Neurospora crassa OR74A: one gene and its partners. The main gene of each other region encodes a partner of the protein of the gene in region 2 in a complex. Links are inferred from orthologs where the notes say so. Each region holds a gene or a part of one and is shown on either strand. Other genes may lie near its edges.

Region 1 (3,518 bases), on a different chromosome or scaffold from region 2:
AGTAGAAGTCGGGGTCATGCACGTAGCGAACTTCATCTTCCTCGTTGATGAAATAACTATACGCACAAGATATATCAGAGTGAGTGTCGTGGGAAGGATGACTAGGCAGATTATCACGAACCTGAGCTTCTTGAGATCTGGGGCGAACTTTGGTTCAGCCGGAAGGCCTGACCAACGGCGACGAAACATCTTGTATGTTGGAAAGTCGTCGAGTTTCCTGGGTGCGTTGTTGTGGAGGAGTCAAAAGACGGTTGCAAGCGAGAGGAAGGATAGCCTAGAACGCTGATCGCGTCGAGGAGTATTTAAACACTTCGTTGCTTGGAGGATCGCGAAGAAACTCGAAGGCCACGGAAGCGGTTGAAGATGGGACGGAAGGAGCCCAGCAGTTGTTCTTCCCTTCTCAGGCACAGAACGAGATAGGCGAAGTCGGAGTACGGAATGGGATGATACTAACGAGCGAACATGAGAAGGTAAACAGACAACGAACGAGACACTCGACTCCCTCTCCTCAGATGAATGGCCAAACCGCGATGACATTGCAACCGTCAAGGTGTTGACATACTGTAGGGTCTCTTGCCCATCTCATCCAGACCTTCCCCATCCCATCATAGAGATAACTTGCTTGACAAACAATTTTCATAGGAAACAGTCGCACACAAACCGAAAGCCGCTTCAACATGCAGGTGTTTCTTTTGGCAGGCTCAAGGTTGCTGCAAACGAGAGCAATCATCCGTAGACTGATAGAACGTATACTGCTAAACACCAGCGATCATCAAAGGCATTGGTAAAGGGTGCGTCGAACGTACGAAAGTGGTGGTGGATGTGGTTGTCACATGCGAACGGCAGGCATCAACCTTTGCAACCCGTGAACAACGTATTCGGTAAGGTACGGGTGAACTTAACACACTCGTTTCGCATACGACAACTACATCTTTGGTAGGTAGAATGATTCGAAAGGCACCACTCAGTCAACCCATCCAAAACAATCCTTCTTCCTCACACCCCCAGCCTGTAGCCAGAGATTGCAACGAAAAAGTGAAGATGAGCACAAAGCAAGTAGTAGTGTTGAGTTCGCGTCGCCTGGAGGCAGTGTAATACCAGGGACACAGTGGTCGGCAACCATAGGCAAGCCCAGAGGGATGCCGACCGAGTTGCAAAAATTAGAATAATCACGATTCTACTCCGTAGAGCAGTTTCAGAGATTAAACTGAAAAGAACAGATACTACACTTGATCTAAGCCAAAAGGCAAAGAGAGCTAAAGAAAAAAAGAAGAAAAAACCAGGTAAAAATTTGGGAGGGGGGGCCAGTCTTAAATAGGCCCAGATGTGGCCTGTGCACGAGCTGCAAGCTTGAGAGTTTGAGTGGAGCCCCGTAGAAAAAGTGCCGTCCAGCTGGTGTGCGACTGGCACACCTGGCAAAGTGTTTGTTGCTGCTTGGTTTGGCGCTTGCAACCTGCGATGAAAATGACACCGCCCGGCAGAATTTGTCGTTCCGCACGCGGCAGGGCTGGACGGCAAGCGCACAGGCCACTGGCCGCCGTGGGAGCCGGGGAGAGTGACTGCGGCTAGCGGGCGACGACGCCGGAGGGAAGCAACGACTGCAGTGCCTGTGACATCGATTTACGCGCCTCGATCCGCCGCTATCGACGCCCATCTCCGACTCAGCCCGCCAATCTGCCCCAGAACACCAAACCGCCAAAATGTCCATGTTTCGTGCCAAGAAGCTCGACCTCGGGTGCTTCACCAACGTCCGGGTCCTTCGTGACCACTCCAAGCGCAAGGCCTTTTTGGAGGCCGAGCCTGAGAGGTAACTACCTACGCCTTGCGATCCTTATTTGCGACTATAATAAGCACAAACGATCTGACGACTCCTTGCTTTATGATACAGACAAGCCCTGCGTTACGTTATTCGCAACACCACCCTCCCTGCCCGTACCAGGGCCGTCGCCCAGCTCCAGCTCACCCAGATGCATGCCTACACCAGGCCCACGCAGATCCGGAACCGCTGCATCCTTGGTGGAAAGAGTCGAGGTATCTTGAGGGACTTCAAGATGACAAGAGTATGTCGCTATCGATTGCTTCAAAGAAGGAGTGGTGTCCTAAGAGCTGAGCTCCGCATGGGAATGATGGAAACCTGCAAAGGCGCGCGACTTGCTAACACTGTTGGATCGCAAACAGTACAATTTCCGTATGAACGCCCTGATGGGTAACATTCCGGGTGTCAAGAAGGCCTCTTGGTAAAAGAGAGCATGGCTACAAGGAACCCAGAGGTTTGTTGTGGTTTGGAGATGGTGCCGGTACGCCCAGAGGCGAATAAACTCTGTTCAAAACCCAGATGGGCTCGGGCCATCGTGTTGGTAAGAAAGTATCACTGTACGCAGGGTTTTTGAGATACCCGTATAAGTAAGTGATCGCATGATGAGGAGTGCTTCAAAAGCTTTTCAGTGGGCAGAGGGAGTTTGTATGATGCATCCTTTTGGACATGGGAATCTCTCTCCCGATGCCCGCTGTGTAGAATTGTTGTTACAATATTATATTCAGACACGGCAAACGAATGAATGTCTTTTTCAAAGTAATCGAAAGAACCAATCTCCCCTAACGCCAAAACGCATGCAACCCCCAAGGTGCCTAATAACCGATCCGTCATCCGTCTGTTATTTTGCCCGCCACAGGATAGCTGTGAAAGCCTAGATCCCGATTATAAATGTTGAAACACGCTCCGCAAACCACATCTAGCATAAGCTGCCTCAAGAGGACTGGACGCTAGTCGCCTCCTCGGCGGCAACCGCCTGACCAAGAGCCTCAGAGACAACCTTCTCGCCAGAGCGCTTTCTCAAGACGTTCTCGATGAAAGCCTCGCCGGCCTTGTATGAAGAACGGACCAGAGGACCACTAGCGCAGTACAGGAAGCCCATGTCAAGCGCACGCTGCCTCCAGAGCTCAAACTCGTCGGGAGTGATGTACTTCTCGACCGCGAGATGTCTCTTGGTTGGGCGCATGTACTGTCCAAAGGTAACGACATCGACGTCGACCTTCCTCAATTCTACAAAGCAACATCATGGTCAGCATCCATCAAATGGGCAAGCGCAATTGGTATGACTTACCCCTCAAAGCCTCCCAGAGCTCCTCCTCAGTCTCACCCAGACCAAGCATGATGCTGGTCTTGGTGATAATGCCTTCCTTGCCCCGGACCTTCTTGACGTGTTCCAACACCTTCAAACTCTGGCGAAATGTGGCACGGCGATCACGCACGTAAGGCGTCAAGTTCTCAACAGTCTCAACGTTATGCGCATACACATCCAGTCCGCTCTCCGCCACAATCTTAACCATGTCCAAGTCACCAGCAAAGTCACCGGTCAAGGCCTCGACAAGCAGGGTCGGCTTCTTCTGCTTGATCCGGCGAATCGTCTCTGCAAAGTGTCGGGCACCACCATCGGCCAGATCGTCACGGTCGACACTCGTCAGCACAACATAACCGAGACCCCAGCGGGCCAAAGCCTCAGCGGTGTTCTCGGGCT
Region 2 (3,497 bases):
CAACAAGTGCCACTTTGTAAGTATTTTCCGTGAGGATTCACAGCTTGCGACAAGTTTAGTCTAACAATGTTATTATAGTGGTCCAACTTTGAGATTGGTAGCCTCAACTGGCTTCGCTCCAAGGCCTACACCGACTACTTCGAGTCTCTGGATCAGGATGGTGGTTTCTTCTATGAGCGCTGGGGCGATGCCCCGGTCCACTCTATTGCCGCCGGCTTGATGTTGAAGAAGGAGGAAATCCACTTCTTCAACGACATTGCCTACTACCACGTTCCCTTCACTCACTGCCCCACCGGAGAGCAGTTCCGTCTCGACCGCAAGTGCCACTGCAACCCCAAGGAGAACTTTGACTGGAAGGGGTATTCTTGTAAGTCTTACCCGGAAGTTCCCTTCTCTTACTGAGCCGTCCACTGACCCCAATCACTTATCAGGCACTTCGAGGTACTACGAGCTTAATGGTCTTCCGAAGCCAGAAGGCTGGCAAGATCAGTCGGATTAGAAGGAGGCGAAGAAGAAACAGTTCTGAGGGTGTGGGGATTAAGGCTTTATGTTGGGAAAACAGGTCTGCAAATAAAACCAAAAGCGGACATTCCCTAGAATGTATTATCGTTATAATGACTTTTTCGTTCTCAATTGGTGGTACAACCCAATTGCCTGGAAACATGGACCTATAAATGGGAAAGGTTGGGCAAAAACGAAGCTGCCTGTTCTGAGTGTTTTGATGGATAGGGAAGGGCTATAAGGGGCGTTAAGGAAATCATGACACAATCACTTAGGGTTAGGTTCGTTGTTACCGACTGCTGAGATAACCCTGGTATTGCCAGGTGTGAAAAGGCAAGCTGACAGCAACACAGTTGGTCCAGTGTCTCCGTCCTTCCCCGAAGTATTTCGTCTTCGGTGTTGTATCATCTTGAACATGGCCAGTCTTCGACAGTCGTAATACAAGGAATATGGACGCCGATATCCTGTCATGCACCTTTTATTTCCTTATAGTACACGGACACATAGTTTAGGATGCGGAATGATGAACTACATGGATGAAGCTTAACCACCTCCACCACGCTCACATCACATCATCATCATCCTACTGCCATGTAACCAGGGGGGGTATCATCTCAATTGTGCTCTGTTGTGCTAGCTGCTTAACCAACAGAGGCCTTCTTGGGCTTCTTGGTACCGTACTTGCTACGACTAGACATACGAGTAGCAACACCGGCCTGTTTTATCACCATTCTTTGTCAGCACATCATTTTCACAAACTAAACACTCATCTTCCCCTTTTTCTCCTTCTCTCCCATCCTCCATCCAGGGGTCTCCATCTAGGGATTTTTCTTCTCAGGAAAAAACTTACCAAATCCAAAGCACCTCTAACAAGATGATACCTCACACCAGGGCAATCCTGGGCTCTGCCGCCACGCACGAGCACGACGCTGTGCTGCGAAATGTTGTGGCCCTCGCCGGGGATATAGGCCGTGATGACCTTACCCGTGGAAAGACGGACACGGGCAGTCTTGCGTTCGCCCGAATTGGGCTTCTTGGGACGCGTGATGCCGACTTTGACACATACACCCTTGAGCGCGGGAGACTTGATGGAGGACAGGGCGGGGGAGACGGCGTGGCGAGCACGTTGGGGCTTACGGCAACCCTGGAGGAATGAAGATAAGAGTGGTTAGCTTTTGATCAGATTGAATTGGACGCGGGACATAGGGCTGTGGTAGTAGCACGGGAACCAAAGTGGTGATAGGTGCATAGGTAGGTAGAGGTAGGCGGGTTGGGGATAGCCTCATCATCATCACTTACCCTCATGACCTGGTTAAGAGTGGCATTCTGCGCCGGAGTGCTGGAGAACAACCGCGCAGCAGCAGGAAGGATGGAAGAGGACGATGGCATCAGCGGCCGTCGTAGCAGCGACGGCTGCGCCTGCGAAAACAAGTTCCGCAAGAAAGTCGTCGCCATCTTGTGATCTTGTGGATCTTGCTGATGGCGGGATGCTCCGAAATCGTCAAGTTCGGTCGGTCGCGGCGCGCAACAGGACGCGGTACAGTACAGGATAGCGGTTCCCCAGGCCGGGCCCGGCAGGCGCACGCAGGGCCGGCGGCGGCGGGCGGTACCAGTGTGGGAACTTTTTTCGTGTCACGGGATGACACACGTGGAGATAAGCTGAGCCAAGAAGGTAGCAGAGGTACGTACCTACTGCCGTGCTTGAGGGACGGAAGCCATTGGGTAAGCTCCGAGTCGTGTGCGGCAATCATCGGTTAGCTGTGAGCCTTCGACAAACTGACAGTCACATGGCATTTGTTTTCCATTCCCCTTCGTTTTCTGAAACTCGTTCGTTGGCACCTCATCATTCCATTTCTATCGCTCGTCTGGCTCTGTTTTCCCTTCTCGCTCACGATCCATGGTTTGCTATTCGCGATTAACGAGTCACGATCCACGGTCTAGCAACAATGGTCACCGCTCGCCGTGCCCCGTGCCCGGCCATCATCAAGGTCCATTCGAGAGAGAGTGCCCCTCCTCCGATGTCCCGTCTCTACCGTGTCTCCCCCAAATGCATCCCTGTCGTGGCCACCGTTTACCCCGGCCAAGGAAATCTTTGTGGGGAAAATGACCTCTTAAGAGGACCGCCCGATTCGGAGCTTTGTGAATGGTGGAGACCTTACCTCGGCAGAGGGGGAGACACTTGACCCAGCTGTTCACAGCATATCGGCCGTGTGCCGGCCAATGCCATTGACCTTTGTTACCCGCTGGCTTGGCTTTTGAATTACTGAGAGAGAGAGGGATAGAGAGAGCTAACAGTAGAGCTCTTGTCCCGGTTGCCCGTAGGTATCCTGCTATCAAGGTGTACGCACCTATCTCCTCGAATACCGCGTGGGCTTCTGCGATAATGATCTGTTCTGTATATCAAATGCATAGTGACAGGTTAGACACATCGAAGGTGTAGGAGATGCATACGATGCAAAGGTCAAGAGAAATCGGGACTCTCTTCACCTTATTTTGAGCCCACGCTGTCATTGTTGCCTTCCATCCAATACTCCACGGATCATCGTTACGGAGCTACATAAGTACATCTTTCATCTGGTCGTTAGTGTTAGCTCCGCTGTACCGTGCCCAGCGACTTATAAGTACCCGAAGCTCGTTCCATCACACCTCCAGTTCTCCTTCCCCAAGCATTTGATACCCTTTCCGCCTTCTTTTCTTCCATTATCTCTGTCCTCTTCGTTCTTCCTAGACAGCACTCGCGCCAGGTTTCCGATCGGTTCTTTAATCATCACACATACGCATCAGACACAATGAAGTCGTTCACTAGGGTTTTGCGTCCCGCCGTCCGCAGGGCTCAGGCAGTTTCCGCTCCCAGACTCTCCAGAACTCCCGTCGTCCAATGGTAAGTTTTGTCATCTCGTCTCATGCCTGGTCTGGTCTCAAAAGAGATGGGCTGGAAGAGGGAGAAGGCGATGTGCTAATACTTGGTTTCCCGACATAGCGCTCGCACTCTTTCC
Region 3 (4,030 bases), on a different chromosome or scaffold from region 2:
TCCTTTTTTTTCTTCCTTGCATTCACTACCGGGTCTTTTGTGTCTAAACGCCGGGATAAAGTGGTAGGATACAAACGCAGCGTCAAGGGGGTTGGTGATGGTGGTGGTGGTGGTGGTGGTCAGTTTACTGCTTGCTTGTTCCGGGCGTTGCTGGTATGGTGGGTGGAAAGACTGGATTTGAAAAATTTTCGTTTTGAAGAGAGAGAGAGAGAGAGAGAGAGAGAGAGGGAAGACTGGAGTGATTCATTATTTAGGTAGCCGAGTGAAAGTAGTGGAAGGTAATTGATAGAGATGGTTTACATTAAATCTCACTTTAGTGAGCCCCGGTTCTGGATGTGTGTTGACTTGGTGATATGAACATGCCTCTGTTGCCGTGTGTTGCCGTGTGTTGGCGAGACTGATATCATAGTGTTTAACTGGGAACTCGAGAGGATCGATCAACTACATTTGATAAGGGGAGGTAGTGTAGCATACAAGTGTGGTAACTGAAACGAGGATGAAGTTTGAGCGAAGAGCCCTCACGTCAAGTTTTCAAAGATCACCCGTAACTTTAATATGATCGTGTCTGACGTTTCTTAATCCCAAGCCATCCTTGTTGAGCCGGGACCGATGAACTACCTTGCTTTAAGGAATCTGAATATGGCGTCGTATTCTTTAGCGGATCACATTCCACATGCGTTATCGTACATGAACAAAGACGGGTCCGGGAGTTTGTTCTCTAGCTGGCTTGACTGATATGATACTCTGACCGTTTCGAGTGCACCCTAATTCACGCCAGAACTTCTTGATCGACGACGGTGATCCATTAACGGGGTCGAAAAGGAGTCAGGTTCCTCCTTCCTTCAACCTGAGTGGGTATGGATGGTTCCGCAACCCATTCGCAATGAAGATTTCGGATACGTATGCTGCCTGTCTGTATGTATGTATCCCATGTTGCTATCCAGGTGTCGTGCGTTCACGATGTACCATTGCTCATCGAAGGCCCAGATCGTTATTGGTGGGTGTTTCGGTCGTTTTTATTGTTGCTGTCGACGGAGGTAAGAAGGTATAAAGATGCCTGCCATCCATCCGTCCATATATGTTGTCCGGTCTGCTTCATCACGGCCCTTTTGGTATACACAAGCCGGTAAGGAGATGGGATGGATATATGTCGATTCGATTCGACTCGATTCATTATTTCCCATCCATCTGTCCATCCATCGTACACATTCCCCCCCCACCCGCCCCCTCTTTTGCTCTCCGTCCAGAAGATACAGATTTACGCCTCCTCTAAACTCCTCCAAGGAATCGCCCCAAACCTCGACAGCGTCTCCAGCTTGCCATCGCCCAACTTCACGTTCGCCGTGCGGATCACGCGCGGGTCGGCCTTCATGGTGCGTCGGACTTCTTCGTGCGTCGCGATGCTGGCGTCGTACCGCATGACAAAGTAGTGGCCCCGGTTATGGCGCTGCTGGTTGGTGGAGATGGGACGGGGCAGCAGGAACGTGCCCCAGTTCTTGATGTCGCGGATGACGCCGCCTTGGTTGAGGATGAGTTTGCCGGCTGTTAGGACGAGTCTGTTTTTTTTTTATTGGTTCTTGTTTAGTACGACGAGGTGTGGAAGGTTGGTAGAGGATGGGATGGTTGGGTTGGGTTCGGAGTCGGAGTCGGGGTGATAGGTAGGTAGGGTCGTGGATGATGTGGTAGAAGAGAAGACAAGAGAAAGATCGGTCGGTTCGGGTCGGGTCGGGTTCGTAAGGGAAAGGAAAGACGGAGGGAGTTTTCTTCAAGTCGGACGGACTATCGAGTGGAAACAAAGAGAAGGGGAAAAAAACATACTCCTTCACCTCGGCGATGTTGCCCGGGCGGACCTGTTCACAAGTGCAATCATTAGCAAGACTGTCTCTTTCCATCTCTCTCCTCTCCCATTCCCTTTCCATTTCCTTTCCTTTTCTGTACCCCCAATCTCTTAACCTGCTCCTGTAGTTCAACCCTAGGGTAACTCACAATACCAATAGTCTCATACAACATCCTGTCTGGTAGTTTGGGCTGGGCGGCGGGCAATCGGTTCGGGGAAAGAAACGAACGCAAAAAGAAGTTTAGTTTCGCGATGCGATGCGATGCGATTGCGACCGGCCGAAAGCGCGTATAGTACTACCTAGTGAACCTTGGACGTCGATAAGAAGTTCGGAGCCCCACAGTAGGTACCGCTGTGGCTGCTGTTGTGACCGGGCTCAGCAAGTACTGTAGGGTGTGGTGGGTGTTGCCGTCAGCAGTGCCGCATTGCCGCAGTGCCGCAGCGGGTTGGTTGCGAGTGGGCGTCCGGGTGCCGCCGCTTGCTTGGAAATTTTTGTGGGGTCCAGGAAGAAGGTCGAGATTCTGCCGCGTTGACCGCCTTCCGGATAGGGGTGTACACACTTCATCAAGGGTGGGTGGGAGAGAGGTTGTTTACTCGACTCTTCAGCTGTCACCTCGGTGATTGTAGAGACATCTGTTGGGTGTAATGGTCCTCCAGAAAAGCTGTTTTAAAAGTTCCTAAAGGGTTATAATGTGGTCTAGAAGCAATGAGAAATCAGACTTGTTCTAAAAACATTCCCAACCGCTTCATACACCTTTGAATGGCCTTCATGTTGTAAATGCATGCTCTTATCGGTATTGTGTATCTGGAAATGCGCTGTGTAAATGTATTCTTTGCTCTTTGCGAACCAACCTCTGATCTTTCGATGCGCCGCTTGACCACCATGGCAGCAACCTCAACAAGATGATAACCGCCATGAGAGCCCCGAAAGCCCTCCCAGCATCAACTGGCAACAGCATGACCATCAGTGCTTCTCTTCTTTGCCCCTCTTATCCTCCCTGCGCCAAGGCGAAAGAGTCCTCACCAACATCCTCATATGCTCCCCCCCGTATAACCACATCCACCCACTTGACTTCATCCTTTACACTCCTTCCCCGGATGCTCATGACCAACTTTCTAATAATCCTCAACATCCATCCCCTCCCCTCCTGCTGCCCCCGGTGCAGGCGCCTTGGCAATCCCCTGCTCCCTGCACCAAAGCACAAAATCGTCAATCACGCCCGGCCACGCCTGGTCTTCGTTCCAGAACCCGAGCGTCTCATCCACCATCGTCTTCTCCGCAAACGCCAGCGTCTGGTTCCACATATCCTTGTTGACGCTCCTCGTCCACTTCTCCGCCAAAAACCGCTTCCACGCACCCAGCCAATCCACGTTCTTGCTCTTCCACGGCCTCGGTCCTAGTCCTGTATCTGAAGACTCGGTGCCCAAAAACAAATCCCAGAATACCAAGGCAACGTCCTTCTCCAGTGCCTTTTGGGCAGGTTCCTTACCCAGGCCAAAAGCGAACTGGTAGACTTTTTTGAAGTAGGCCGGATTTTGAGGCAGGTTTTGGATGCACATCCGGACGTAGTTTCTGTGGTGGGCCGGGTCTGCGGGAATGCGGTGGTCGAGGTAGATGGAGGACCACCCCTCGACGAAACCCTGGCGAGTGATTTGGCCGATGGAGTCGGCGCGGACGATCTCAAGGACCACAAAAGCTTCAACGTTTTCGATATTGGCGCCCATGGAGGAGATGTAGGCTTGGGCGGCTTCGGCGCCGATGGCCTCGACGGGTTTTCCGGCTCCTGCTGCTGCTCGGTCCTCGTCTGTATCGATGTTAGTTCGAGGGGAATGAGAGGCAGGGGCAAAGAGACATACCGCCGACCAGACGGTCGAACAACTGATTCAACGCATCATCTGGGCCACGCTTCCTTTCCCGATCATTCATATACCTGTGGTCGAAGTAAGGTTAGTCTTCCGTTTCCAACCTGATAAATTTTGAAAATAATAAGCAAGGCATCTTAAGCCATCACGGACTCTAATTCCGGCGCATTTTCCAAGGATGAAGTGGATATTCCCTTGGGATCTATGCGTGGACCCAACTCCCCATTGCCAGTCGGTAGGACAGTTTTTGTAGACGGAAGATCCTGCAACTGAAGAGACCCAGGCACGTTGTCCGCCGTTTGGGGATATCGGGAGTGAGATTGTGATCGC
Region 4 (4,182 bases), on a different chromosome or scaffold from region 2:
GGACGGTGCTGACGATGGAGGATTTGGGCATGGCGGCAGGGGAGTTTGGGGTTAATGTGAAGAGGAGCGAGTTTTATCGCTAGGGGGGCAGTCACGGTCACGGTGCAGGACTGTCTGCTCTACTGATGAGAAGGGATGGGGAAACGGTGGGTGGTTTGCCTGAGTGTGAGCGGAATGGTGGCATGGCAGACCAAAGGATGATACTATCTTAAAGGGGCGGCAACAAGTGGTTACTTGCTCAAGGAGGAGGATATCAAGAGGATGATGCATCGATGGATGGATGGATGGGCAAAGGGTCGGCAATCAAGGGTCCAACACGGGAACGGTGCAAAAGGGGTTTGGGGTCATCGGGTCTTCTTTTCTTTTTCCTTTTTTTTTTTCCTTTTTTTTTTTTTTTTTTTTTTTTTTTTGCGCTTGGCGTTCAGGAGGCGCCGTTATGGAAGATTGCCATCGTCCTGTTTGCTCTCAGTGAACCCGTTATGACTACTAGTCTAGGCTAAAAATAATAATACCTGGCGATACTAGCATATTTTTATCAATTACAAAGCATAATTAAACTACACACTACACAACATATACATGTTCATCTTGAAACAACAGACACAGCACAGTAGTATGAATCCAAGCGAAAGTTCTAATTTGCCCCAAAATATGATATGTGTACAGAAACCTGTGCCCTCCTCTGACAATGGTATGGTATGATACAGATAAGCAACGAAAATATGCTTTTTTGTTTTTTGCCGAAATAAACGCCGCCCACAGAAAAAACGTGTCAAACCCGCATCCATCAATCAATCGACTTCTTCTTCTCTTTTCTTCTTCTTCTTCATCATCATCACTGAAGAGACGAACGAAGTTTGGTTTGTCTATTTCTTCTTACCCCAGATGAAGGGCTTGCGTGTACTGTTTGAGGTTTTGAACCATTCAGTTAGTGTCGGTCCAATTGTTCATGTCCATATGCCCAATGTGTGTCTTTTGTGTTGTTTGTTTTCTGCTGACCACACTGCACCACCGCCTACGATCATCATCATCCCGTGGTGGCGTCCAACACATGTCGCCCGTCCAGCCATTCATGGCTTGCCACCAGCCAATGCCATGGCCATGCCGTGTCAGACCATTGAATTTTGTGTAGGAAAATTCTTTTTTTTTTTTTTTCTTTTCCCACACCGCCAACATTTATGGCATTTCCGCCGCCATCTTAAAAAAAAAAAAAAAAGGAAAAAAAAAAGACCCTTTAAAAAAATAATATATTGAAATTGAAAAATAATAGTCAAAGAAGGAAAAGAAAGGAAAAAAGTAGACTAGTGAAAGTAGGGGAAGAAAGAACCAAAAAAAAAAAAAAAGAAAGAAAGAAAGAGCACTTACGCAGAAAACTCTCCAAGCTTATGCCCCACCATCTCCTCGGTGACAGTCAAGTCAATGTAGTCCTTGCCGTTGTGTACCTGGAACTTGAGGCCGACAAAGTTGGGCAGGATGGTGGCGGACCGGGCCTGGGTGCGGATGGGAGCGATCTTCTTGCCGGGCTCGGGGCGCTGGATGGGGAGACTGTTTTGTGTGTATGCGTTGGTGGTTAGTGCCCGTTTGCGCTCAAGATAGGTGACTATGCTTGTAGCGTTGCGGTTGGATTCGGTTGGACTGCGTTGGTTCGCGGATGGAGGGGAATGTCGCGGGATGGGCTCGTAGAGAATGATGGACATGCGCCGGCAGCTTTGATCGGGAGCAGGGAGGAGAGAGAGTCCTCGGGAGTGCGCCGGCGCATTGAATTGTCGTCGTCGTCGTCGTCGTCGTCGTCGTCGTCATTGAGATCGCGGGGACAGAAACGAGGGGAAGGGGTAGTAGAGCTTACGGGACAATGTGCGGACCTGGAGTCGGCGATGCGGGTTAGCTTGACTGTCTTGGACGGCGCAAAGAGTACATTATCGCAAGGTGAAGCTTAGGAGGAGACAAAACAAAATAACTTACCCTTCCACACGGATCTCTTGAAAAGAACCCTTGTTGGCTGCATGTTGGGCGCGAACGAGAAGGAATTCGGTGGTGATGGGTGGTGGCTGCAAATAGCGGGAAGAGGCCGGGCGCGTACGCGACACTCGGATGGTCTTGAGATCAATCGGTCGGTCGGTCGGTCGGTCGGTCGGTCGGTCAGTCAGTCGGCGAGTCCGGCAGGCGGGCGGGCGGAGCGGTTCCAGGTATCACGGCGACGGCGGCAGTGACGGGAGCGCTGACCACGGCCGAATTTTGGAACTGCCAAGCTTATCGGTTGCCGGCCGGCATACCTAGTACGGACGCCCCCGCTGACTCTCCCCCCTGGCTACCTATGTACGCAGTAGGTACTTCTACAGGGTTAGGGGGCATTCATCAAAGCGATTATCGATACAGCAAAAACCCCTGCACGGGTAACCCTGTCTATCGATATCTAAAAGCAACGCCCCCATAATTACACTACGATGATAACCCTCTAAACACCTCTTTTTGTCAAGGTAACCTACCGTCAATATACAGATGGATGTCAACCCTGCAGTGGAGAGGTACGGAAATCTTCAGTCAAACGGCACTTGCTTAGTGAGCAGAGAAAGCGGGGTCTACCTGATGGCAAAGATCAATTAGCATCCAATTTGTGTTATCGTGCATTTCTTGGGTGCGCAAGAAGAAGAAAATCTATGCACGATACTGCTGAATCTAATGCTATGGTGGTGTGACTCGTGCACCACACCCTACAGGTACCTACCCCTGTACTGGCAAGCCCCCCTGCTCGAGCAGCACTTGGGGCCGAAATCTTGGTGTTACTCGAACTAGGATACAGCAAGTATTATATGACTTACATACCGTTTAGCAAACCGGCGGCACTGGTTGGCACTCTCAGACACTTGCTGCCCGTGCTGCCGTCAATTGGTTCAGGACTAACGCGACTGCGATACTCCAAAACATAGCATCCCGGATTCCGGACTATTGGCATTCTTGGTGGTGGCCGATAACCGGCGTGCGTCCGTCGATTCCTGACTGCAGCTCAGTGGTTCACATCGATCGTGCACTCCGTCTTCTTCAGTGTTGCTCCTTCCTCAGCATTTCAAGTTCCATACACCTCGCCACCACTACAGTATGTATGATGTTTGTACATCAATGTAGGACGTAGTGTAGGTAGTTTAAGGCAGGCGTGAACTGCCGTGCTGTGCCTTGCCTTGCCTTGCCTGGGCATGGACTGGGCCGTCATGGATTCTTCGTCTAGGCAAGAGCGCCACCGCAGTCAATATATCTATCTGGCCGTGGTTTCCCGTTCGCGTTCACAACGACCTTCTTTTTGGATTTCACCATCCGTCACTCTTTTTTTTTTGTTTTGCGCATTTGTGGGTGTGCTTGCATCGTCGATGCCCTCAGACGAATGCCCCCCCTCCCTCTGGTCGGTCTGATCAACATTTGATCGGTTCACCAGTCTGCGCGCAAAGTCCGAGAAGGGCACCGCATTCGTTCTTCCCGCGAGCCACCTGAGAACAGGGCTGCATTTGTTTACTATCCAGCCAGCCATGGAGTTCCAACTTCCATCATCATCATCATCATCATCAAGCAGCTCGACTGCTGCGCAATTGTTTGCACTAGCTACCCATCAAGATCAACCGTTCCCGGAATAAACTAGTAGGGAGCACTTCCCGTCCCTGGGTGTCTGAGTGTGCCTTGATCAACTTGTCGGACTACCGCAAATGCGGACGAGTGCCTGAGTATCAGTGTTACCCGTCTCTTCACATGATCTAATGCTCTCCAGATCCCTCCTCTTTCGGGCTGAACGGTCACTATAACGGCATGGTGCTCCACGAGTAATTCTACCATCATAACGAGACGCCGACTGGCTCGTTAGCATTGCGTGTCGGAGTGTTCCACCGTTGAGCTTGCTCGCGCGCACGGAACTGAACCAGGCCGTCTCAGGCACCATCTCCACTGAACGGATTCAGCAGGTCGTCTTTCCCAAAATTGACTGGTCACGCTTCTGTCCTGCATCATATGCATGCGCGCCGCACCTGTCAACGCCAGTACCCCTGTCCGCTCAGCGCTGCCAGACGTCCACCACCACACCACAACCACCACTACACTACGGTCCTACCTATCCGGATCTCCCACGGTCTTCACCAGCGAACACGGGCTGGCTCTTCAACTCCGCCATCGTCCCATCCCTGCGTTCATGAGGAGAGAACA
Region 5 (4,205 bases), on a different chromosome or scaffold from region 2:
GGTTTGACAAGGAGAGTTTAATATTTTAACAGATGTTGTCTAGTCAAAGGTAGGTACAGCTGAGAAGAGGGCCCAAACCCAATCAACTTAAAGTGGAAGAAAGAAAGAAAGAAAGAAAGAAAGAAAGACAGAAAGATCAAATTTCGTCAGAACAACAGTTGTGTTGCATGTATATCAATATACATATATACCTCTATATATAAAAAATGAATCATCTCGACTGATCCTCCCTTGAGCTTTACCTCGTGCTCAACTTGGGTGGTTTCAAAACCGGGACATTACACATCGATTGAGTGACCGTGAGTGAGTAAAGCCAGTTCGAACCAAATCTTTGACCGGATCCAACGTACGGAGTCCCAATGCGAGACATGACATGGCATGGCATGGCATGGCAATCGAGACACCGATACACTCACTCTGCCGTCCTTCACCGGTGCTCGGTTTACGTACCTACTTTTAGTAGCTACCGCGCTGAAACGAACCAGTGAGGTCTCGGCCAGGCAAATCTGATAACCTAACAGTCAATAGTCAAGATTCAGTTTGTCACCGATCACTCGGCATGGAGCCTGAGGCCTTGCGAAGGAGGAGAAATCAGAGGCTGAAACTACAAAGGTAGAAGGGCTACAACTGGCAGCGGTCAGGTATGTTTTCAACAGCTGATGTGTCGTGGTAGTTACCTAGTGAGCTGATATCGTGAAGGAAGCAGACATCATGCGGAGTAAGGAGTAGTCGGACATGTAGGTCCGTATGAGGTCCTTAGGAGATGTACTAAAAAGTTTGGTCAAGTAAGCAGAGAAGGTTGGATGTCGATGTCACAATGTGCGTCCATCTTTCAAAGTGCTATATTTACAATTTGCATTTGACCTATCCGTTTGTTGCTTCGTTGCCGTTATCCTGCTTTCCTCTTTCACACACACACACACATTTGGTTCATTGGTAATATACACATGTAAAAGTATAGATGGCAGCTGCCGGGGCTGGCTTGGTTTTTACTTTCCTTTCTCTTTTTCCGGCCGGTCTCACCGTCATGCTATCCTATCGTACAGAACAACTTTTCCCTATATATCCGGGTTCCATATAGACAGACAAAGTCACAGAAGTAACTTGGGCAGCAACCGTACAATAATCCATCTCCATCCCGTTCCACTCGCTCTTTCTACCCCTCGGACAAGGTGACAGCCGTCGGACTGTCGATGGCGGCGGCAGGCATGGACTGATGGACCAGTAGTCGCGAGTAATTCAGAACCAAAAAGTCGAGGCTTAAGCTTTCACGCTCCCGCTTCACTTCCTACTTCAATTCCTCCTCACTCCTCCCTCCTCTTCCCCCGCAGAATGGAAGCAAGAGGCTAAACAGAGCTATCACCGCCCGTCAAGATCCTAGTCTCCAGCCTGGCCTCCTCCTCGACCTTGGCCCAATCAATCATGTTCCACCAGCTCTGCGCATACGCCAGCTTACCACCCATACCACCCACACCAGTTCCGTATTCGCGAAGCCACGCGTACTCCCACGTGTTGAGGCACAAGATCGGAATCAAATCAGTGCCGCCGGGAGCCGTAGGTTCAAGCTTGTTGCCCTTGAACCCAGCTGCGCTGCGCTCGAAGAAGCGCTGGCCGTTGCTCAAGCCCTGGGGGGAGCTCCCGATGGAAGTCTGGGCGTCCATCTCCTGGCGGCGCCAGTGGGCGCCCGGGTAAGGAGAACCAGCCAAGTAGGTGGCCATGACGCGGAGGGCGACGGGCTGACCGGGAAGCTGGGTGCGGACGAGCCAGACGAAACCGGGACCGAACATGGAGACGGCGGTGCCGATCATCTCGTCGCGGAGCGTGTCGACGGAGCCGAAGTTCTCGTTGATGTGGTAAAATAGCTTGTCGCCCATCTTGACGGGGACCGGGGACAGGTGGTCGAAGAAGAAGTGGTTGTTGTGCGCCATGGAGGCGTGGTTGAACACATGGGCGAGCTCGGGGTCGCGTGCGGTGGCGAGGACGATGGACTTGGTGTCTTTTTGCTCAAAGTCGGTGCCTGTTTGACGAAAGAGAAGTAAGCAAAGTGGTTTGTCGGTTAGATATCTCCCATGCAGCAAAATAGGTGACATCATGTCTTCCCCCCCGGATAGGCAGGGCATGCTCTGGCTTGAGCTTCAATCCGAGTCCCCTTCCTTCTATTTCCTCCACCAATTCCTTTGTGGCCTAACCACTGCGCTAATGCCTCCTCTTCCTCTCAGGCTTAACAGCATCCCAGCTTGGCGTTTTCGACCAAAGGATACCAATTCCTCGCAGCCAGTAATCCTCGCACGTAACCTTCATCCATGCCATGCCGTGCTATGCCGTGCCACATGATAACGCAGCGACACCAAATTCCCCAGACGAGTATGTTCTGTGTTGCTGTGTCATCCGTACGTACCTACTACAAGCGCGTTAAGCTTCTCCAAAATGAAGGTCTGGTACTCGGTATAGGCCATGTTGACGGAGCCGGGGCTGAGGAAGTTGCGGATGCCCTCTTGCTCGAAGTTGTCGCGAAGCGGCATGAGGTAGTGCTGCCATCTCCTTTGAGCGGCGATGCTGGCGCCGGCGACGGCGGACTGGTTGGTGGCGACAGCGTTGACGGCACGGCCGAGGAGCGAGCTTGTCGCACGGGGTATCCTTAGACCCATGGAGCCGATCATTTTGTCTGTTGGGGTTTTTTTTGGTCTCTTTCTCCGCAAGAAAACGGCCCGGGGGTCGGAGGAAAGGTTCGGTGGAAGGGAAGGTCGGCCGGTCGTTCGGTCGGGGGAGATGGACGGTGGACAGTGTGTGTGGGGGGCGGACCTTGAGGACGGACGGAGACAACTTCAAGACTGGACGGGCTGCCGGCGCAGAGCGGACGCACTTCAGAACACACGGGCACTCAACCCCGGAAGACGGTCGAAGTGGGACGCGACTTTCGAGACTTTTTTTGCTCCGCTGCGGAAGGACCCGGCCATTGGAGCAGGGACCAATCGTTGGGACGAACTGGCGGCCGGCAGCCTCACCGTCCTCGCAAAGAGCCAGGTTTGACCCTAACCCTGGATGTTATTGAGAGGTACCTACCGTCCTTGGTGGGGTAGCTGTTTGCCAATTCCGGAGTTCCGTACTTGGCGTTCACATTGACTTGCGTCTTCAACCGTTTCGATGATGTACTGGTGCACAGATACTGGGCATCTTTCTCTACTTTGCTCGTGTATGTGCTATGTTCATTATCGTACTTTGACCGATATTCTGTAACGCTATTGTAAAATAATTCCGTGGACGCCGTTGCTCGAAGTCCGAACAACTAACAATAATCACGAGGCGAACTGGACGCCCTCACCGGACTTCCCCCACCAGTACTACTTGACGCCAAAAACGACCCGATGATGCAGTATCCCGAACAGAATGAGGAATATAAACAGTGAACACCGACACCCCCTTTGAATCAATTTCCCTTCCTTCCCTGGTCATTCAAACGTCGTCCTCCACCATCGCAAGAACATCAAGCTCGTTCCTGACCATCCGCTCGAACTCTTCACGACTGATGCCAGCGCCGCGTGACAGCTGGAATAGACTTCGAATCGTCCTTGAGACGTGCTGCTTAACTCCAAACTCGACTCGATCTTGCGCTTCCGCCGTTTCTTCGAGCTTGGCCACCATGCGGGATCCGTTTGAGCTGGCGCTACTGGCTGGGCGCGGATGAGCAAGGCTTTCCATCCTCTCCTCGTCCGCCTGGGACATGCGCCGGCCACTTGAGTCAGAACCGGACTTATCAGAGGGTGATCGGGATGGAACGTAACCGCCGTTGCCGTCTCCGTTTAGGCCCAATGGCGGCGGCGCTGGTGCGGACTTGATGACAGGCGGCTCATATGCCTGTTGTCTTGGCGACGGAGACCTGCGAAGGGGGAGACCATTAAGCGGTGCACCACCCCCCACAGCTCCGCCCTGGAAGGCCTCCTCGTCTGGATCATGGGGGTCCATGGCTGGCTGTACGGATTCGTATTGGGCGAAGTACGCATCTTCGGCGGACGGACTACGCTCAAAGGGATGGGGTTTTTGAGTGTTGAGGCCGGCGCCCAAGGACGGCGGCGCAGGAGAGCGGCCTTGACCGGGAGTTTGGGAAGGCGTGGCATCGTATCGGCCCCAGTAATCATCGTCGTCATCCTCTTCAACCGGTTCAGCTTGGACGGATACTTGGGCAACTGGTTTGGTTTCTGGCACAG
Region 6 (4,594 bases), on a different chromosome or scaffold from region 2:
GTCCCGAGTGTGTTGCAGTTCGTCGCCGTCTGAGGGCTGGCAAGGTTCTGACGACCCGGCGGGAGGTGAGGGCAGCAATTTCCCAAGACCCAAAAAAAGAACCTGAAACATGCAACTGAATACGTAACATACAACTAGAATACATACCTGCTGCAAGTTGGGAGACATCAACTCATCGGGAAGCTTCGTGTTCTCGTCCTGAGACTGCGAGAAACTCCTGGAAGCCGAAGCACGGCGCTCGTTGGGCGAGCCGGTGGATGCTGCGACGGCAGACATGGTCGTCTGCTGAGGGCTGGATGTTGAATGACCTAGCCTGAGGGGATTGGAGGGATGCTTTGGGTGCTGGTGTTTCACAATGGGAGGAGATGCTCAAGATGGTGATAGAGAAAAGCAGTAGATTTGGTTCCAATGGCGACGAAAGACACAGATAAATAGAAGCTTGGGGGCGAGATGACCACAAACCGCTTTTGAGAGAACACGGTTGGTGATGGCACCGACAAGAAGATGCAGAAAGAGAAGAAGCCTTAGAAATATGTGTTGATATAATGGGGAAAAGAGAAAGAGCTCCAAGAGCTGGTCTGGGACGGAAGAAAGAGTGTAAATGTGCCCGAGATACCCGTACTTTCAGCTACAGTTGCCCTGAAGTTGGACCTTCTCGCAAGGCAACAGCAACAAACCTCTTGGTGACGATGGACGCACCGGTCAGAATAGGGCTAGAGGTAGGTAGGTACCTCTAGGGTAGGTATGAGCCCGGGATGACCGAGACTAAAGTCGAAATGGTGGACCCTTGGCTCCCGAGGGAGGAAGGCACGATGGAACTGTGACCGGGACTGCCCAGGTGTCACTGCCCGGACACTCCAAGCAAAAAGGGGTTCACGATGCCTGTGAGATAATCCGCAATCTCTGTGATCAAAGCTCACTTGGGCTGCCATCAGATGATCTGACGAGTGAACGCACATCGGCTCGTCCATCCGAAGATCGGAATCGAATATGATGAGTCGCTGGGGAAGTTGCGACCGGTATTCCAGCTAACGATCATCGGCCTTTGGCGTCGTGCCTCCCGTCCTTGTGCCTAGCGGGATCCTTATCACCAAGCCGAAGTTTTTCACGTGTCGCGGGGACGTCGGGCATGATGGTCAACCGAGCCAGCGATGAGACATCCTGCCGCGTTAAGGACCTTGCTGTCCGGCTGCCACTTCCCATACGATCAACGGGTTTCTGGGTTAGGCGTCCGAGCCCCAATGACATATTCCGAGTTCATTAGGCGGTATTCATACCTAGGTGTTCATGTCACCTGCCATTCGGTGTGATCTACCATTCTTCGTCGGAATGAAAATGAGTAGAGTAGGTAGGGAAGCATGCAACGTCTGGAAGCTTCAACAAGACAGCACCATCACCTAGCATCGTGGACATTAACAGATAGGAGTGGCGGGTCGGCTTTTCTCGTCCGGTAGGGCTGGGATGCCAAGGTCTTTGCAAATTATGGTAGGTGTGATTAGCTTCCTTTCCTATCCATTTTTATTTTGGAAAAGGCTTGAAATGGAGCAGGAAGAGCCAGCGCACCTTTTCACATTCATGGCGTTCTTTGACATGGACGGCTTGTGCAAAGATCTTGGGTGATCCGACACTCGCTTGTTGTTTTCACCCAAATGATCAAAGCTGTTCGTAAAGAGGGACAATGGCGAAGGGTCATATCCTCCCTCAAGCCCATCCGCGCTATGGAATCAAGATACGGTATCTTCAGCTTATCAACAGGCGCTTCTTTGTTCGATGCATCAAGAGACTTGTGTAGACGCATGGGAGGACAGTCCCGAGATGAACCTTTGACAAAGCTGGTAACCACAAACCTGCTTGTCGAACTAGGCGGCTATTCAACACCATTTGAAGGGGCAAGTGCCGCGGGCGTCGCTAACCATATGTACAGTTGTGGCAGCACCTCGTCACGGGGAGACTGTGATGGCATCAAGTACTGAGCGGAAAAATGCATGTCGAAATGGACCAACTGCCGGAGGAACGCCAGGTATTCGGGGTATATGATTCTAGTCCGCCCACTATATGATACATGTACACGTCGTGTAGTTCTGATTTCGGGACGCCGTGTCTTATTTCTTCTTCTTCGCATCTGTCGCAGAATATGAACGTTAGAGATTTGAACCGTGAGTAAGAGGTGCAGACGAAACCCACCGGCCGCCGAGGGTGCCGTTCTCTTCTTCTTGGGCGCTCCCTTGTCGCGGGCTCTCAGACTGTAAGGTATGGTTAGATTGTGATGTTTGCAAGTAAACACTAGCAGGAATGAGAGAGACGAACGCTGCCAAGTGCTCCAAACGATCATCATCGACCTCATCGTCAACCTCGAGACCAAGAGTACCGAACTCCTTTTGAAGCTCGCGAATACCGACGTTCTTGCGGGGGTAGTAGGTCGCAAGTGCCGGGCCCTTGAGTCGCTGACGCAGGATCTTGTTACCGGTCCGGATGCCTTCGGGATTGAAAGTCGTCGAGAAGAGCTCGCAACGAGCCTAGGTATAACCTAGTTAGCGAACTGGTTTTTCCCCTCATTCGGAACTGTTCCATACCTTCACAAGTTGCAGTAACCGCGCCCGTGGGACCGACATCTTGCCGTTACATGGAATTGCGGATTCGCGAATTCTAGAAACAGCAACAACAAGAGCCGCCGGATTGTTCGACGTCGTTCAGAGATCTCCCGCTCCAGCCCGTCAAGCAATGCGCCACCAATCATAACCATTCATGGGTACAAAGAGTGGGGCACGGACTGCAACCGTTGTTTTCGAGCCGCAGTGTCCCCGGGCCGTCAGCGCAAGCCCGCTGATGAAGCCGAGGGCGGCGCGTTCCAGGGCTGACAGGCGCTAAGAATGACAGCTACGGGCCATAACAGGGCAGCAGCAGCGCCCTGATGTGGATCTGGGGTCGAACAGGGGGTTAGGGTTTCCACTACGCAATGGCCCGGGATTCGTTCTCATCTTGAAGAATCCGTTTTCGATTCTGCCTCTACAATTTCATCGCCGCATCAACGCGCGATCTGAGGCATTCGGATTGCTTGTAGGAAAGTACAATCTTGCCATGCCGAAACACGGACCCACCCCGGAGGAGGTATCAGAACCGCCCTCCAAGCGTGCGAAGTCAGACTCTGCACCATCCGCATCACAAGGCGCTACATTGGAGTCCGCAACCTCCGTCCAAATTCCTTCTTTGCATGCCAATACCAAATGGACACTCGCTACCATCCAGAGAATGCGGCCACCGCTCCCCGACATTCTGGACCCGGCACTCAAAAAGGCGGCGCTCACACACCCTGGTAAAGCTAACAACGACCCTGTTGCAAGTTATGAGAGGCTGGAGTGGATTGGCGACGCTTATCTTGAGCTCATCGCCTCCTCCTTCATATATCAAACTTTCCCGACCTTGCCGGCTGGCAAAAGCGCACAACGTCGCGAGATGCTTATCCGCAACACCACACTAGGCGAATTCTCGGTCTATTACGGCTTGGACAAGATGGCCGATATCCCGGAAGAATTCAACATGGAGGGCAGAGTGGGCGGTACAAACGCAAGTCAAAAAGTCAGAATTAAGATTCTCGGAGACCTTTTCGAAGCCTATGTAGGAGGCGTGATTCTTTCTGATCCTGCCAATGGGATTCAGCGTGCTTCAGACTGGCTCAAGGCCCTATGGGGCCCTCTCATGGCGGAGTACATCCGCGAGGAAGAGAAGAAGGCCAGGAAGCCGGAGCAAAAGCAATCCGCAAGTGGCCAGACACTCGACCCAAAGACAGTACTCGAAGCTACCATTGGAGCCAGGGGTGTCAAGATCGAGTATAAAGATCTCCCTTCCAAAAACCTGAAGGACAGGGGAACCAAGCTGCCTCTTTTCGCTATTGGCTGTTTTATGACAGGCTGGGGGGAGACCAACCTGCAACTTGGGCACGGAAGTGCTTTGAGCAAGAAGGAAGCTGGTCAGAAAGCAGCTCAAATGGCCTTGGATAACAAGAAGCTGCTCAAGAAGTTTGCGGACAAGAAGGCGGAGATGAAGGCCGCGCGGGAAGCCCAGCTGCAGCAGGCAGGAGTGACGTTCCCCTTGAAGGATCAGCCTTCGGCACAGGAAACCACTGGCGGCGTGCTGTAGCGACCAAGTACTGTTCGGTCTCATATGCCCCTGATCTTTAATACTTCGACACACCAACCATCACATGCCCGTAGTCTCGTGGTTTACCTCGGGCGTCGGCCATGAGAAGGACGCATAGCAGATGAATTAGGCCATTCATTACTACGGGTAAACGACCCGGGTTCAAGGGAGGACCAGGGACCGTTTCGTTTGCACATACGAAGAGAAACCACAACGAACAAGCTGTGGCCAAAGTCGATGATGAACCATCTTGTTCATCCACAGGTCAGCACCTCCTTTCATAGTTAGTAGAGATATCCATCAGGCATCTTCGGAATGTTATACCCCTACCTGGAGTGTTCGTTACTTTCAAAAATATGGAGGCTTATCTTGAATTCAGGTCTCACAAACCACTATGCTTTGACAACCCCGACTCCAAGGACAAAGAAAGACATAGAAGATGGGGACCTCAAGTTTC
Region 7 (4,452 bases), about 920 kb from region 2:
GCTCTCCTTCAACGCGGCGACGACGGCCGAGTAGGGCTGGAACATCTGCATGCGCTTGAAGCTGCAGATGGTCTTGAGCGAAACGGGCTTGTTCTCCACGCCTCCGGTCGTCTCCCACATGAACTTATCGGTAGGGAGGTTGCTGTCGCTGAAGTAGAACTCGACCTAAGACTATTTGTTAGACACGGGGACACGCAGCATGCCAACTGTTTTTGTAGTCTGATCGTACCTGGTTGCGGATCTTGACGGGATCGTCAGTGACGGGCTGGGTCGAAGGATCGTATTTCCTGTTGTTCTTGTAGTCGGCGCGGTCGATAGACTTGGTAGCCTCAGGCTTCTTCTCCTCCTCCTTGCTGGCATCCTCAGTCTTGGGAGCCTCCTCGGCGGCGGGGGCAGCCTCCGCGACGGGGGCCTCTACAGTCTCGGTTTGGACCTCGGTCTGAACATTCTCGACGGCAGGCGCAGCCTCAGTGTTGGCGGTGGTATCGCTCATGATGAAGGTCGGAGTGGCCTGTAGGTATTTGAAAGGGTAAAGTACAAGCGGCTGTAAAGGCAATTGACCGTCTAACGTGACGCGCGTGCACGGAAGAGAAGAATGGATGTAGATGGCCGGGAGAGAGATAATGGTGAACGGATGATGAAAATGCAGAAAGTGCACTGGAGACCGGGGACCAAGCAGGCAAAACGACGAAATTATTTAGTGGGTCCTTCAGGTGCACTCCAGTTTTGGGGCGGTAGGCGCAAAATGTTATTGCAGGGTGCAGTGGGGGAATGGTGTTGGGTTGGTGCAGGGTTGATTGTTGATCGACGCGACAGGAAAGTCGGCCATTCACCAGCAAATCCCAGGACGTGTGTGAAGTGTAGAGGTAGTCACGTAGTGTAAGTCAGGTAGGACCTCGATAATTCTGAACTGTAACACACACTTCAATTCCCTTGTCAAAGATCGAGAGTTTGATTCAGTCTTGTCCATCCATTACTGAGCTCCCTCCCTCCATCATCATACAGCAGCGTAACCCATCTGCCCTGACTTTTTCCAGGGTCTGTCGGCATTGGAGTCATATCGAGGACTGCACTTGTCAAAACCTCCCCCTCAGCGCAAAAAAATGGAAGCGGCGAAACCAAGCAAGCAACCAAATCAGCCCCACCCAGGTCCAAGGGAACCGCCTTTGGGTTTAGACTTTTTGTGCCGATTTCTACCGCCTGGCTCTGCTTCTAGCCCCACTCCACTTGCACCCGCAATCCGCCAAGAGGTTGCGGAGCTATACCGCATGCGCTCTAGCTCCCGCATCCTGTGCCTGCCAGTTCTCCACCATCCGGCCTGGAGTTGACGCGCACAGTGGCCCGAGCTTCTCACGTGAATGCGACCAATGGGCGAGCGCGTGCTCCAATTCGGGTCTGAAATAATTTTCGGAGGACGGCGCCCGATAAGAGGTGGAAGGGCCCCGGGAAGCTCCCCTCGTTGGCAGTGCTGCTAGGTGCCCCGGACCGCTCCGGACTCGACAATCTCCAAACAACCTGCGCCGAACCGGTCCGTCCACTTCGCCAAAAGCACGGGGCCTACAGTCCGATCCGATCCCCCGAAGCTCCTCCAAACACACCACACCCAACATGAAGATCCGGAGGTTGTTCAAGTACCACAGTTTGAAGAAAAAGGTATGTGCTATTCGGTGTTTTATGCCGCCGTCGCCGGGTTTGCCGTTGGTCATCGTCGCCGCCGCCGCATCATCACCCCATTCGCCCCATTACCTACTACCTGCCAGTCCCATTGCCACGACACTCAACACCCACCACACGCGATCATGCTGACGTATTTTGTGTGCGCTTCTTCTTCTTCCGAATAGCCCATCAGGCCGACATGGAACAAATATAACCTGTACAACCTGGCTACGGCCGGGAGAGAACCCAGAATCAGCGGCAAGACATTCTTCCAGCAGAAATGGCTCGCCAAGTCCTTGACACGAGCATACCACGGCGAGCACATCAAGGAACGCAAATGGGCGCGCATGTTTAGCCGTCGCCTACCGGCCGTCGTCAACATGGACCCGGCATACATGGCCAAATATAACGGCAGCGAACAAGCCGCCGGCCGCGGTTCCGGCCTCTCAGAGCCCCCAGCCTACGAGAAGACCGCCGACGAGAAACCTGCCAAGCAAGTCATCGCCAACCCGGGCAGGAAGGTTCCCACGCCGTACGAGCAAATGACCTTTGCGCCTCTCGAGAGACGCCTCGATATCGCCATATTCAGAGCCCTCTTTGCCAGCAGTGCGAGACAGGCCCGCCAGATGGTTGTGCACGGTGCCGTCACCGTCAACGGCAAGAAGGCATGTACACCATCACAACGTTCCAATACCGAATCCCACAATACAGTGCACCCATGCCAAAGCTGCTTGTTTCGGCGCTAACATTACCCGATCCTTTTGCAGATGAAACACCCCGGTTACCTCCTGAACCCTGGCGATCTCTTCCAAGTCGACGTCGAGCGCGTCCTCTATGCGACCGGTGCGCCCAAGGACAAGAAGCTCCTCGCCGCGGCTATGAAGGCCGCCAAGAAGGAGCTTGCGGAGGAAGCACAGGAAGCCGCCGAAGAGAAGGATGCGGAGGCCGAGGAGGCCGAGGAAGGAGAGGCACAAGAAGCAGCCTCCAAGTCCGGCAAGAAGGAGAAGCAAGTCGACACCTCCAAGTTCGACGAGGCCTGGAACCGCAAGTACGAACTCCTGCAGCTCCAACGTCTGCTGCAGTACGCCAAGCACATCGCCGACTCGCCGTCTCACCAGCTCTCCGCGACGCGCAAGCAAGCATTGCGCGCTTTGAAGCGCGACATCAAGGCCGCCATCAAGCAAGCGCAGCGGCGCGACGGGTCCGTTTCGCCAACCGGTAACGTGGTGGACGACCTGACGATGCTTCTCGAGCGCCTTGCGGTCTCCCCTTCCAAGGCCATTCAGCAGGAGGAGGCGGCCAAGGAGCTGAGCAAGAAGCTTGACAAGCAGTCGCGCCAGGTGCTCAAGAAGGTGATCGAGTACAACGACGAGCACGAGGACAACGAGATCGACCCGAGCAAGCCGTACATGACCCCCTGGAGGCCGCGCAACTACATGTCCGCTTTCGCGTTCATCCCCCGCTACCTTGAGGTCAACCAGAACATCTGCGCGGCCGTCTACCTCCGCCACCCCGTGGCGCGCCCGGGCGAGTCCGAAGTACCGTCGCCTTTCTCCCCCACTATCAACCAACTCGCGTTCAACTGGTACTTACGGAGAGGTTAAAGGAGGTCTAGTTAGGAGCGAGGGAATGAAAAGGGGAGATGGAGGGAGGAACGGCAGTCACTCTCTGCCGTCTCAGAGCGGTAGAATTCGCCAATGGACGATTAGAGTCGCGCGCACCCAGTTTTTTGCATGTCGCGGGTACGCTCTATTGTGCTTGTTGCATCTTCAAGGCAACCTCGGATGATGTGATACTCTGCACCTGCTGCGGCTTCAGTTGGACCATGCGTTGGAAATCGGGTTCGGTCTCGATGAGAAAGCTGCGAAGTGGGCGGCAAATCTCGCGATTCCCGGAGAAAAAGGAGACGGGGATGGATCATGCATGAGATGAGTTGACTTCATACGTATTTTGGGCACATTGCGCGTAACAGTTTGTTCGTTCCTCAATACCCGAACAATCTGTTGCAGACTCATTCAGTTCGCCCCCTTCGGCATCGATGTACGCTACATGTATCATTACCACTATTAACTAAATGGATATAAAGAGGGGCATAGACAAATTTCCTTCTTCTTTGCGTAAGAAAGTCATGAGACAGATGAGAACCACCGAGACACCTACGGTCTCCTCTCTGAAAGCTCAGTGCTTATATAGTAAAATTGCCAATCATAGCATTGTCGATCGAGAGGAGCAGTGCAAAGGTAAACACTTATCACTGAGGAAGACGGCAAAATTCGCCTTGAGAGCGCGAGAGAGAAAAAGGCTAAGAAATAACTATCTAGGAGAGGCTAAGTGTACGTTGAGTGTGTGTATGTTTTATGTGGTAAGCAAGAACCCTCCGTGGCTGGAGAGCGAAGCACCAGTTGAGAGAATCGGCCGGAAATGTTGGGTTGGGTATGACCGACCGTAAACCGTGAAAAGAAAAACCTCCTACAAGAATTCCCCGTGAAATAAAAACATCTGATCGCCGATGAAAGCAGTTAATAAAATACATGTGTTGTTGGGATATCTGGTCGTTCGTTGCTTTTCGTCCAAGTGAGATTTCCCGCCTGTTCCCTTACGCCCCCTTTGCAACTTGCATATGGTGCAACGTCGCGAGCACAATTCAAACCCGACTCCTTCTGATCCCTCTATGAGCTTCTCGGTTGTGAATTGCTCCTCGCTCCCGCCAGCCACAGCATCCTAACCGACTTGTCAGTCATGGTGGCAGCCGGAAACATGATGTTGCCGACAGTCGGTCAAGAAGACAAGGGCAAG

The links.
Region 1: NCU06542 (region 2) and NCU00564 share a complex: the UniProt entries of both Saccharomyces cerevisiae proteins name them as parts of the mitochondrial small ribosomal subunit. The link is inferred for Neurospora crassa OR74A from reciprocal best matches to the Saccharomyces cerevisiae genes MRPS12 and MRP2.
Region 3: NCU06542 (region 2) and NCU05717 share a complex: the UniProt entries of both Saccharomyces cerevisiae proteins name them as parts of the mitochondrial small ribosomal subunit. The link is inferred for Neurospora crassa OR74A from reciprocal best matches to the Saccharomyces cerevisiae genes MRPS12 and MRP17.
Region 4: NCU06542 (region 2) and NCU08728 share a complex: the UniProt entries of both Saccharomyces cerevisiae proteins name them as parts of the mitochondrial small ribosomal subunit. The link is inferred for Neurospora crassa OR74A from reciprocal best matches to the Saccharomyces cerevisiae genes MRPS12 and RSM19.
Region 5: NCU06542 (region 2) and NCU07386 share a complex: the UniProt entries of both Saccharomyces cerevisiae proteins name them as parts of the mitochondrial small ribosomal subunit. The link is inferred for Neurospora crassa OR74A from reciprocal best matches to the Saccharomyces cerevisiae genes MRPS12 and RSM26.
Region 6: NCU06542 (region 2) and NCU01761 share a complex: the UniProt entries of both Saccharomyces cerevisiae proteins name them as parts of the mitochondrial small ribosomal subunit. The link is inferred for Neurospora crassa OR74A from reciprocal best matches to the Saccharomyces cerevisiae genes MRPS12 and RSM27.
Region 7: NCU06542 (region 2) and NCU08296 share a complex: the UniProt entries of both Saccharomyces cerevisiae proteins name them as parts of the mitochondrial small ribosomal subunit. The link is inferred for Neurospora crassa OR74A from reciprocal best matches to the Saccharomyces cerevisiae genes MRPS12 and NAM9.

What each region holds. Positions count from the first base shown.
Region 1 is NC_026501.1:7,986,168-7,989,685, reverse strand, and holds NCU00564 (mitochondrial 37S ribosomal protein MRP2), read left to right. Parts: upstream 1-1,495; 5' UTR 1,496-1,700; coding exon 1,701-1,807; intron 1,808-1,888; coding exon 1,889-2,060; intron 2,061-2,178; coding exon 2,179-2,241; 3' UTR 2,242-2,597; downstream 2,598-3,518. Other genes in the region: NCU00563 (hypothetical protein), read right to left, coding at 1-56, 122-189; NCU00565 (lipoic acid synthetase), read right to left, coding at 2,748-3,043, 3,105-3,518. UniProt on the Saccharomyces cerevisiae protein: Component of the mitochondrial ribosome (mitoribosome), a dedicated translation machinery responsible for the synthesis of mitochondrial genome-encoded proteins, including at least some of the essential transmembrane subunits of the mitochondrial respiratory chain.
Region 2 is NC_026504.1:1,583,898-1,587,394, forward strand, and holds NCU06542 (putative mitochondrial 37S ribosomal protein MRPS12), read right to left. Parts: upstream 2,100-3,497; 5' UTR 1,957-2,099; coding exon 1,801-1,956; intron 1,646-1,800; coding exon 1,352-1,645; intron 1,218-1,351; coding exon 1,143-1,217; 3' UTR 962-1,142; downstream 1-961. Other genes in the region: NCU06541 (alpha-1,2 mannosyltransferase KTR1), read left to right, coding at 1-16, 79-367, 432-499; NCU06543 (acyl-CoA dehydrogenase), read left to right, coding at 3,291-3,382, 3,482-3,497. UniProt on the Saccharomyces cerevisiae protein: Component of the mitochondrial ribosome (mitoribosome), a dedicated translation machinery responsible for the synthesis of mitochondrial genome-encoded proteins, including at least some of the essential transmembrane subunits of the mitochondrial respiratory chain.
Region 3 is NC_026503.1:613,951-617,980, reverse strand, and holds NCU05717 (mitochondrial 37S ribosomal protein YmS16), read right to left. Parts: upstream 2,273-4,030; 5' UTR 2,011-2,272; coding exon 1,987-2,010; intron 1,851-1,986; coding exon 1,819-1,850; intron 1,557-1,818; coding exon 1,259-1,556; 3' UTR 560-1,258; downstream 1-559. Other genes in the region: NCU05716 (hypothetical protein), read right to left, coding at 2,954-3,642, 3,695-3,768. UniProt on the Saccharomyces cerevisiae protein: Component of the mitochondrial ribosome (mitoribosome), a dedicated translation machinery responsible for the synthesis of mitochondrial genome-encoded proteins, including at least some of the essential transmembrane subunits of the mitochondrial respiratory chain.
Region 4 is NC_026502.1:3,810,894-3,815,075, reverse strand, and holds NCU08728 (mitochondrial 37S ribosomal protein RSM19), read right to left. Parts: upstream 2,385-4,182; 5' UTR 2,006-2,384; coding exon 1,963-2,005; intron 1,863-1,962; coding exon 1,847-1,862; intron 1,546-1,846; coding exon 1,366-1,545; intron 904-1,365; coding exon 867-903; 3' UTR 615-866; downstream 1-614. Other genes in the region: NCU08729 (transcription initiation factor TFIID 23-30kDa subunit), read left to right, coding at 1-83; NCU08727 (hypothetical protein), read left to right, coding at 3,995-4,182. UniProt on the Saccharomyces cerevisiae protein: Component of the mitochondrial ribosome (mitoribosome), a dedicated translation machinery responsible for the synthesis of mitochondrial genome-encoded proteins, including at least some of the essential transmembrane subunits of the mitochondrial respiratory chain.
Region 5 is NC_026501.1:6,129,143-6,133,347, forward strand, and holds NCU07386 (Fe superoxide dismutase), read right to left. Parts: upstream 2,931-4,205; 5' UTR 2,661-2,930; coding exon 2,399-2,660; intron 2,018-2,398; coding exon 1,347-2,017; 3' UTR 886-1,346; downstream 1-885. Other genes in the region: NCU07385 (hypothetical protein), read right to left, coding at 3,454-4,205. UniProt on the Saccharomyces cerevisiae protein: Component of the mitochondrial ribosome (mitoribosome), a dedicated translation machinery responsible for the synthesis of mitochondrial genome-encoded proteins, including at least some of the essential transmembrane subunits of the mitochondrial respiratory chain.
Region 6 is NC_026502.1:2,519,976-2,524,569, reverse strand, and holds NCU01761 (hypothetical protein), read right to left. Parts: upstream 2,817-4,594; 5' UTR 2,613-2,816; coding exon 2,574-2,612; intron 2,517-2,573; coding exon 2,308-2,516; intron 2,244-2,307; coding exon 2,185-2,243; intron 2,123-2,184; coding exon 2,103-2,122; 3' UTR 1,564-2,102; intron 1,472-1,563; 3' UTR 698-1,471; downstream 1-697. Other genes in the region: NCU01760 (pumilio-family RNA binding repeat protein), read right to left, coding at 148-276; NCU01762 (nucleolar RNAse III), read left to right, coding at 3,079-4,137. UniProt on the Saccharomyces cerevisiae protein: Component of the mitochondrial ribosome (mitoribosome), a dedicated translation machinery responsible for the synthesis of mitochondrial genome-encoded proteins, including at least some of the essential transmembrane subunits of the mitochondrial respiratory chain.
Region 7 is NC_026504.1:2,501,629-2,506,080, reverse strand, and holds NCU08296 (mito ribosomal protein S4), read left to right. Parts: upstream 1-1,419; 5' UTR 1,420-1,608; coding exon 1,609-1,653; intron 1,654-1,841; coding exon 1,842-2,321; intron 2,322-2,423; coding exon 2,424-3,260; 3' UTR 3,261-3,804; downstream 3,805-4,452. Other genes in the region: NCU08295 (RNA-binding La domain-containing protein), read right to left, coding at 1-165, 230-493. UniProt on the Saccharomyces cerevisiae protein: Component of the mitochondrial ribosome (mitoribosome), a dedicated translation machinery responsible for the synthesis of mitochondrial genome-encoded proteins, including at least some of the essential transmembrane subunits of the mitochondrial respiratory chain.